Linked DNA regions of Coturnix japonica. The protein of the gene in region 1 interacts with the protein of each later gene in a biochemical or structural test. Links are inferred from orthologs where the notes say so. Each region holds a gene or a part of one and is shown in the gene's direction. Other genes may lie near its edges.

Region 1 (4,387 bases):
ACGAGTGATGGCACCACGTGCGGCGCGCAGCCCCTCCCGTCCCTGTCCGTGTCCCCGCAGTGTCCGATGTCAGCACACGGCCGCCGCTGCCGGGCCCTCCCTGGCGGCACGGCGACATCAGGAGCAGCAGCAGCGAGGCTCGTTTTTGTTGCTTTTCGGAGAGGTTTTGGTCCCCAGCGCGCCGCTGCCGGTCGGGTTTCACCGCCCTCGGGTATTTATATCCGTAACCCAACCCCGCGGGGGGCGACGTGTCACTCATCGGGGGACACCTGCAGCGGGACCGGCAGGAGGAGCCCCCCCTACATACCCCGGAGGAGACCCGGACCCCCGCTGCTTCCGTGTCCCCACCGCGGGCCCCGTGTGGGCAGCCGGACCCACGCAGCCCCACCACGCCCCCGCCCCCGCCCATCCTCTGTCCGCGTTCACGCGTGGGGCGGGCGCGTGGCACTGAGTGGGGGGGCCCGGAATGTGCGGAATGCGCGCGGGCACGCTGCCCCCAGCGGGGCCCCGCCAGACCCCCCTATCGCTCCTGCCTGCGCCGAGCCCGGCTGTCCCTGCCCCGTGTACCCCCGTGGGACCCCGCACCCCAAATCCAAAGGGACTCCCATTGTGGGCACTCAGGGCCATCTCCACAGTGCCCCCCCCATGCTGAGGACCCCCAGGAGTTGTGCACCCCTCCCAACCGTTCCAGGATGGACACGACCGATAATTTGGACGTTGCACTCAATCACTCTACGCTGGGGACCCCCAGAACTTGGGTACTTACTTCCCACTTCCCCTAAGTGACCACCTCGTCACGCTGCACCATGTCTCCACCCCAAACTCCCGAACTCGGACACCCAATCCCCCCCCATAACGGGGACCTCCGGCACCCAACCCCTTACCGACCTCCGTGTCTTGTGGCACATTAGCACCCGGGAACACCTCCCCAACCCCCACGTCCAGGTCTCCTCAGAACCTGGGCACCCCTCTTGATTCTCCAATACTGAGAACCCCCAGCACCCCAGATCCCCTCCCCAGTTCCCCCACGCTGGACACCCTCGTACCCCGACCATCATAACCTACTCGCCCTCCCCTCTCCCCCGCGCTTAGAACCCCCAGCACCCGGAACCAACTCCCCAATCCCTCCATGCTGAGGTCTACCCAGAACTCGGACCTCCGTGGCACTGAGGACCCCCGGTACGCAAACACCGCATCACCCCCAGCCCCCTCCCCAACTCCCCCAGGCGCTGAGAACTCTCAGCACTCTGCCTCTCTCCTCGACACCCCCCACCCCCTACCCACGCGCCCGCTCCCCATCTCTCGGCTCGGGCAGACCCCGCGCCCCGACGGCGCGACCACCACCCGCCGCGGCTGCCGAGGGGCCGAGGGCGGGGGGCGGCGCGGGGCGGGGCGGCGAGGGGTGGGGGGGAGAGCTGCCCGTCCCGGGGCGGCCCCGCCCGGGGGAGGTGCAGGCGGCGGGGCGGCGGACGGAGGAGCCGCGGGCGGCGGCGGGCGCAGGAGCCATCGCGGCCCATGGCTCCGCGGCTGCCGCTGGTGCTGGCCGCGCTGCTGGCGGCGGCGGGCGGCGGCGGCGGAGGGCGGCGGGCGGCGAACCCCGACGGGGCGGGCGCCAACCTGACGGTGGCCGTGGTGCTGCCGGAGCGCAACGTGAGCTACGCGTGGGCCTGGCCGCGCGTGGAGCCGGCGCTGAGCCTGGCGCTGGAGGCGCTGCAGCGGGGGGATCCGCCGCTGCTGCCGCGGCCCTTCTCGGTGCGCGTCGAGTTCATGAGCTCCGAGCTGGGGGGGGCCTGCTCCGAGTACGTGGCGCCGCTGAAGGCCGTGGACCTGAAGCTCTACCACGACCCCGACGTGCTCTTCGGGCCGGGCTGCGTCTACCCCGCCGCCTCAGTGGGGCGCTTCGCCTCGCACTGGCGGCTGCCGCTCATCACCGCCGGCGCCGTGGCCGTGGGCTTCAGCGAGAAGCGGGAGCATTACCGCACCACGGTGCGCACCGGGCCCTCCGCACCCAAGCTGGGCGCCTTCGTGTCCCACCTGCACGCCCACTTCAACTGGAGCTCCCGCGCCGCGCTGCTCTACGTGGACCGCAAGACCGACGACCGGCCCTACTACTTCACCATCGAGGGCGTCTTTCAGGAGCTGCAGGACGGCAGCAACCTCACCGTCCGGCACCACATCTATTCCCCCGACGAGGGCGGCCCCGACACCGCCATCCACTTCATCAAGGCCAGCGGGCGCGGTGCGTGGCGGCTCGGAGCGACGCGTGCGGTGCCGGGAGGGGCGGCGGGGCCCGAACTGACGGGACGGGATGGGATGAGGTGGGATGAGGTGGGCGGGGGTCCCGCCGAGGGAACGGGGGCCTCGCGCGGGGCTGGGAGCCGCGCCGAGAGTGCGGAATAGTGCTCGGTGGGGCGCGGTGCGGGGATGGAGAGGGAGGGGGGGCTGCGCCTGGGGCGAACAGCAGGACCCGTGCGTGGCATTAATGGGTGGGCACGATTCTGGGGACCCCGTGGTGCACAGTGAGAATTTGAGCACCCAGCGGGACCCTTGTGAGTCACAGAAAAAGTGTGGGGACACCCGACTGGGCACGATGAGGGGATGGACGCACAGTGGGACCTGTGTGGGACACAACTAGAAGTGGGTAGGAGGGAACCTTTGTGGGGCACAGCAAATGGAAAGACACACGGTGGGACCTCTGTGGGGCACAGTGAGTGGTTGGGGATGCTGTAGGACCCGTGTGAGGCAGAACATTGGGCATGGTGAAGGGGGGGTCTCAGCAGACTGGGGGGGCACGGGACAGCGGGTGCAGTGGTGGAACAAGGCTGGCCCTAGGGGACCTGGAGTCACCTTGGTACCATTGGGATATCCAGGGCAGGATTAGGAACCTCGGGACCCCCAATCCCTGCCTGAAGCCCCTCACAGGGCACAGGAGACATGGTGGCACCTTTGTGGCACCCTGTGGCTTGGGCCACCAAGGGCAGGCTGGACCTGGAGGCGGAGGTGATGGTGCAGACGTGGCCACTGATGGGCAGTGCTGGCAGTGGCTCTTGTGCCAGCACAGTGAGATGGATGTGCCCCATGCAGGGAAGAAACAGCCTGGCCCTTTGGCCCGCTGCCTTGGTGCTGGTCCCCAGCTGTGATCATGGCGGAGGGTTGGGGACAAGGCTGGGAACGCCCCAGGAGAGTGGCTGTATTGGGTGCAGTAGGAAATGGAGGGGCTCTGGAGGCAGCTGGAGAGCAAGGGCAGGCAGCTGCTCTTCCATTATTGATGAGCAGGGCGTATCGATCGGGGAGGCAGCTCTCCTTAATGGATCTGAAGATGCTGTGTCATTAGGAAGGACACGAGGCTAGGATGAGAGGAGCCAGATGGGCCAGCAGGGCTGAGCCTGAGGGAGCTGTGAGCCCCTGGCCCTGAGCTGATGGCTTTCTGGGGTGAGGGAGTGCACGGGGAAAAAGCTCGGCTCAGCGATTGCTTCCAACGTTTCCGGCTTGGAGTTGTAAATCACCCTGATGTGATCGGTGCCCCTGGCTCAAGGCAGCATGGGCAGAGACATGGGGCCCCTGGAGCTGCCCCATGCTGTGTGGGGCTGTGGAGAATGCTGTTACTATGCACCCTGTGTTGAGCATTGCTTTGGCATCACCCGGGGTGAGGCTGAGGAGAGCCACGTCCCTCTTTGTGCCCCCGGTGCTCCCCATTCCTCAGTGTTTGCTGCCCCAAATGTGGGTACGGGGGATGTGGCTGCATCCCCATGTGGCAGTAATGGGGCTGGCACGCACCTGCCCCATCAGCACTGTGCTGCCATGTCCTTTCTCTGGGCCTGAGGGCGACGTGCCGGGCCCCACGTCGCTGCTGCTGCTCGCAGCAGGGCTGATATAATTAGAGCTGCAGATGAGGGAATTACCGGGGCATCTGCCTTCAGAGCGCAGGTCCTGCGCCTGGGGACATGGGTGGGCGCTGGGCTTTGTCCCCTGCTGCTCAATGGTGCTTCCAGCCCCGTGTGTTTTCCCCCATTTGGGTGGCACCTGTCACACAGCCCCAACCCCTCTGCACATCTCTTGCCCCAGGAGCCACGCTGGCTCCATTCCCCACCTCCCCCCGTGATGAGGGCTGTGACCATGTGGGCCCCTGCGCGGCCGTGCCACCATCTGCTACCAGCTGTCACAGCCAGGGATGGTCTCACGTGGTGTCCCCAAGGGCTGTGGGGTGGGGCAGGAGGTGGCACAGGGGTGGCATTGTGTTTTTTGGGAGGATGTCCCACTAAGAAGCCCCAGTGGTTTCTGCCCCATGGCAAAACCCCCTGAAGGGACAGTCCGTGTCCCTCGTGCTGCCTTGTGCCACACTGTGTCCCAGAGCCTGTCCCTCCCCGTGTGCAGTTCTCCAAGGGTT
Region 2 (4,496 bases), on another chromosome or scaffold:
TGACACGTCCACCTGCCCCCTATGCTTTGGGGGTGAGATCATCCACCCATGCCCTGAATTCTGCCAAATCTCAGCCACAGGGTGGTACAGTACATCCAAGGGTTAAAGGCTTCCCCATCCCACGAAGCAAAAAGATTTTGTTGCTTTTAACCCCTTCTCCATCCCTTCTTCCCCCTCCATCCCCCCACCCGAGAGCTTTTTGCTGCTGTGAAGCAGTGCGGGTGGATGTGGTCTGGTTTCGGTTAAGGGCAGGGTGATTTGAATAACAGCACTAATTGGATTTTAAAAGCACAGCCCCCAAAACTGAGGCTGCAAGCGTTGGGACAAAGCAAACATGCTCACGGGAACCCAGCAGAGCACGGTGGTGAGATCCAGCTGTGCTGTGCCATGTGCAGGATGCTCAGACATAGGGCTGCAACCCCTCATCCCACGGGGGGATCCTTCCCCATGGGGCTGAGCCCCACAAAATACAGAAGGGAACTCTGTGCCCCACGCCTGTGCGTGTGGTCACCTGGCATGGGGGGCCGGCTGTAATGCTGCCTCCATCGCCTTTATCTGCCTGCATGCAGCCGAGTGCCCGAGTGCAACTTTGCGCTCCAAAAAGCCCAAGTTGTCTCCACCTGGCAGGCACAATGGAAAAACCACCGAGACCTTCTCCTTCCAGCTCCCGGCCGCATGGAACTGAAGGGATGGTTCCCTGCGAGGCGGCCCGTGCCCAGCAGTGCAGCTGCAGGGGGGGAAACCACAGCCCCCCAAAGAGCTCGGATCCTGCTGGAGGCAGAGCAGAGCCCCGGGGAGTCCCAGAGAACAGGGAAAGCACCAGCCTGGGGAGAGCCTGGAGCTTTTCCATGGTGCCGTGGATAGGATTTGGGGGCACTGCACCACTAAGAGCATCCCTGCACTTCAGGGCGCCAGGGATGGGGTTGGTGCGGCTCTGGTGCCATGCATGGCAGCAACGGTGGTACCACAAATCCTAAGTCCTGCCCTCGGCTGCGTGCCCTGAGCTGCCACCAGCATCCAAAGCTCATCCTCCATTGCAGCCCCGGCAGCAGGTGGGAGCGCTCACAGCCACATCGCACGGGGACTGTCCTTGCAGGGCAGGGTGACACTGACCGTACCCTGCAGACGAAGCAGCTGTGACTGCCCCAGGGTGAGGGCAGCATCCCGACCCCCAGCGGGAGGGCAGGGACAGGGAGCGGGACCAGGTCTGAGCCACAGCATCCACCTGTGAGCCTGTTCCCACGTGTCCCCGTGTCACCGCCATGCAGAGCAGTGTCCCCCTCTCCTGGCAAACGGGGGTCTGAGAGTTTCATTCTGATTGAAGCCTGGATGCGGGGGGGGCGGGGAAGTGCTTTTCGCATTCATTTCTGCTTTTGGGACTTAATCCCCCTCCAGGATCCCCCTGCGGAGTGCAGCAGCCATCCCATGCCCCTCCTGGGGGTCTGCATGGATGAGGGGGCAGCAGAGGGGCTGTGGGGTGGGGGGATACGGGGTGACAGCCACCCTCGGGGGGGGGGGTTGGGGGAGCTCAGCCAAATGCCCCTCACTTTCCTCTTTGGCTCTCCAGCTCTGTGAGCCCATCGCCTTGGGCTGATGTGTCATTTGTTCCTGCCAGGGGAGAGGGGACCCCCCCTTTAAATTCCTGCTATTGTGCAGTGGGAGGCCGGGCTGGACCTGGTTGTTTAGATGACATCACCGAGCAGGTTGGGTTATAAAATGAATGAAGCAGAAAGCCCAAGTTCAGTGGCTCGGCACAGCGCGGGCGGCAGGAGGGACCTCGCGGCTCCGCGCTGAACTTTGACTCCCTCCGTCCCGGCCTCTCCCCGGGGCTCCCCGCTGCCCCCCGGCCCCATTCCCGCTGCACTGCAGGATGCAGATCTCACCCGTGCTGGCCGGAGGACTGCTGCTCGCTCTGCTCTCCGTCGGGCTGGAGGCGAAGCCGGCGTCCCAGCTCCCGCAGAAGGTAGGGCTGCCTCTGCCCCGCTGCTGAGCCCCAATAGAGTCCTTAGGGCGAGGGGATGGCGCTACGGAGTCCTCCTTCCCATTGGGTTTTGTGGGTGGTAGGAGACCACCGACCCACGTGTAGGGGAGAACTGTGGTTGGAGAGGACGCTGCGAGTCCTCACCCTGCAGGACCACAGTAAGCGGGGACACGGCTGTCCCCACGTCACCCTGCGGTGCTGGAGTCAGACCCGGGTGTAGGTGTGAGGTCGGAGCCCATGGGGGGCACCCTGTGTGTCCCTCGGGGATGGAGCGGGGATGTCCTGGAGGACACCGACACCTGTACCGGAGATACGGCACACGGAGCCGGACAGCGGGGGGGTGGGTGGGGGATGTCGGCATGGAGAGCTGGGGGGCGTGATGGGCAGGAAGGGGGTGAGCAGCAGCCGCAGACGGGACAGTGGAGGCAGTGAGGAGGACGCAGAAGTGAGAGTGCTCAGAGCGTGTTAATGAGGTGTGAGCGGCAGAGCTGGGAAAGCGGGGGACCCGGTGTTCCCCACTTTGCAGAGTGGGGTGACAGCGGCATCAGCACAGAGCGGCAGCGACCCTGCAGCTGGGGAGCGGGACCACCCCACATCGGAAGGGGCCGAGGGCTGGTGGGAGGCGGAGGGTCACGGCGACCCGTGTTTGGGGGCGCAGCCATTTGAATTGGGGGGTGCGGTGAGCCCAGTTTGGGGTGTTCCGACCCCATCTCGGGGCTGCCCTGCACACAGCCCGGGGGAGCTCCGCCCCAGCCCCGCTCCGGGCCGCACTGACCCAGCGGGGGCCGCGGGGGGCGGCGGGGGATGCTCCGCTGCGGGGTAGGGACGCGGAGCTCGGGACGCGGTGACCGCCCCGCAGTGACCGCCCGTCTCCCCGCAGGCGTCCCGCGGAGCAGCGGCGGCGGCGGCGGCGGCGGCGGGTCCGCCCGAGGCTGCGGGAGCGGAGCGGGACAAGGAGAAGGAGAAGGAGCGGAACCGCGGAGGAGGCGGCGGAGGAGGCGGCGCGGGGCCGCGGGAGGCGCGGGAGGCGCGGGCAGAGACGCGGCCCCGAGCGGGTTGGGCGCGGCTGCTGCAGGAGCCGTCGGGCCGCCGCCATAAGGGGCTGCACAAGAAGGGGCTCGGGAAGGGCTGCTTCGGCCTCAAGCTGGACCGCATCGGAGCCATGAGCGGCCTCGGCTGCTGAGGGACCCCTGGCGGTGAGTGCGCGGCGCGGCCCGAGGGCGGTGCTGGGCGCGGGGCGGGCGGGGCTGCCCCGGGGGTGGTTCCCGTGGAGCTGCGATGTGCGAGTCCGGCCGAGCCGAGCAGCGGGGGATCCGCTGAGCACAGCGGCACGGGGCGGCCATGGGCAGCGGCAATGAGCGCGGCTCCTCCGCCGTGTCGGGGACCGAGGGTGCCGCCGCTCCGCCCCGGTCCGGGCTGTGTCCGGACGCAGACACCCGGCTGTGCGACCCGCAGGTGCCGGCACCGGCTCTCGGCATCCCCGGGGCATCGCCCTGTGTCCTTAAGCTCTGCTCAGAACTTTCACCCCACGCGCCCGGCTCCGCTCAGGGCGGTTTCTCAGCCGGGTGCGAGGAGCGAAAACTTTCGGCTGGGTTGGGCCGGAGGACCCCCCGAATCCCAGCTCCGTTCTCATTCTGCTCCCGGATCCCCCCGTACCCATAAAGCTTTAGCGCGGCGGGCAGGACGAGAAAGCCGCGAGCTCCCGTCCTTGCTGGCCCCGGGGCGAGCGGTCAGCATCACCAACACACAACCCCGGCAAGAGCGGGCCGAGATTTCCCCTCGCTGTATCACAGCATCGAGCTCCGTACCCGCACCCCAAACCCGGGACATCCCGCCGGGGTCGCATCTCGGGTCAATGCTGGGCAATGCGGGGCGGGCGCTCACGGCTCTCCTTCGTTCCTCGCAGGGCACCGGAGCAGCTCCGTCGTTCCCCCAAGGGCCGGGCACGGCCGCCCCTCAGGCACCGCCTGGAAGAGCAGAGAAACCCCCCCAGGATCGGACAAAAGATGTGGCTGTGTTTTTCTTTTCGGTACGAGGAGTCACGGCACCCACCAGCTGTTTCGGTTGTTCTTTTTCCCTCCCCGTTCCCCCCCCTTAAAAGCGCTCTCTATCTTCTCTATATTATATATACAAACACTCACCGAGACAAGGGACAGTGCTTTTCTGAGAGACTGATGAAGCCGGCTGTATAACGTTGCTGTTTGTAAATTCATGTCATGCATAAATGTATTTATGTTGTAAAGCTATTTATATATTGTTTATAAAGAGATATTTATAAAGAAATTATTTATGTAACTAAAGGAGAAGTCAAGCATTGTCACGTTGCTGGGGTTGTTGTTTTTTCTTTGTCCTAAGTAGCCGGAAAAAAGGTTAAAAAGAAAGAAAAACCGTTTGGTAACATGTCTTTATTTATCAAACCCACGTCCAACTGCAACGTCGGGTTGATTGATTGGAATGGAGCCGAGAGATGGTCGGGATGCTTTAGAGAAGGCAGGAGCCGGAGGAAGGCTGTGAT

The links.
Region 2: the proteins of NPR2 (region 1) and NPPC form a complex in vitro, tested with the Homo sapiens proteins (3 studies listed by BioGRID). The link is inferred for Coturnix japonica from reciprocal best matches to the Homo sapiens genes NPR2 and NPPC.

The regions. Positions count from the first base shown.
Region 1 is NC_029547.1:8,344,465-8,348,851, reverse strand, and holds the start of NPR2 (atrial natriuretic peptide receptor 2), read left to right. Parts: upstream 1-1,487; 5' UTR 1,488-1,515; coding exon 1,516-2,239; intron 2,240-4,387. UniProt on the Homo sapiens protein: Receptor for the C-type natriuretic peptide NPPC/CNP hormone. Has guanylate cyclase activity upon binding of its ligand. May play a role in the regulation of skeletal growth.
Region 2 is NC_029524.1:13,424,094-13,428,589, reverse strand, and holds the start of NPPC (C-type natriuretic peptide), read left to right. Parts: upstream 1-1,619; 5' UTR 1,620-1,870; coding exon 1,871-1,963; intron 1,964-2,861; coding exon 2,862-3,164; 3' UTR 3,165-3,177; intron 3,178-3,887; 3' UTR 3,888-4,496.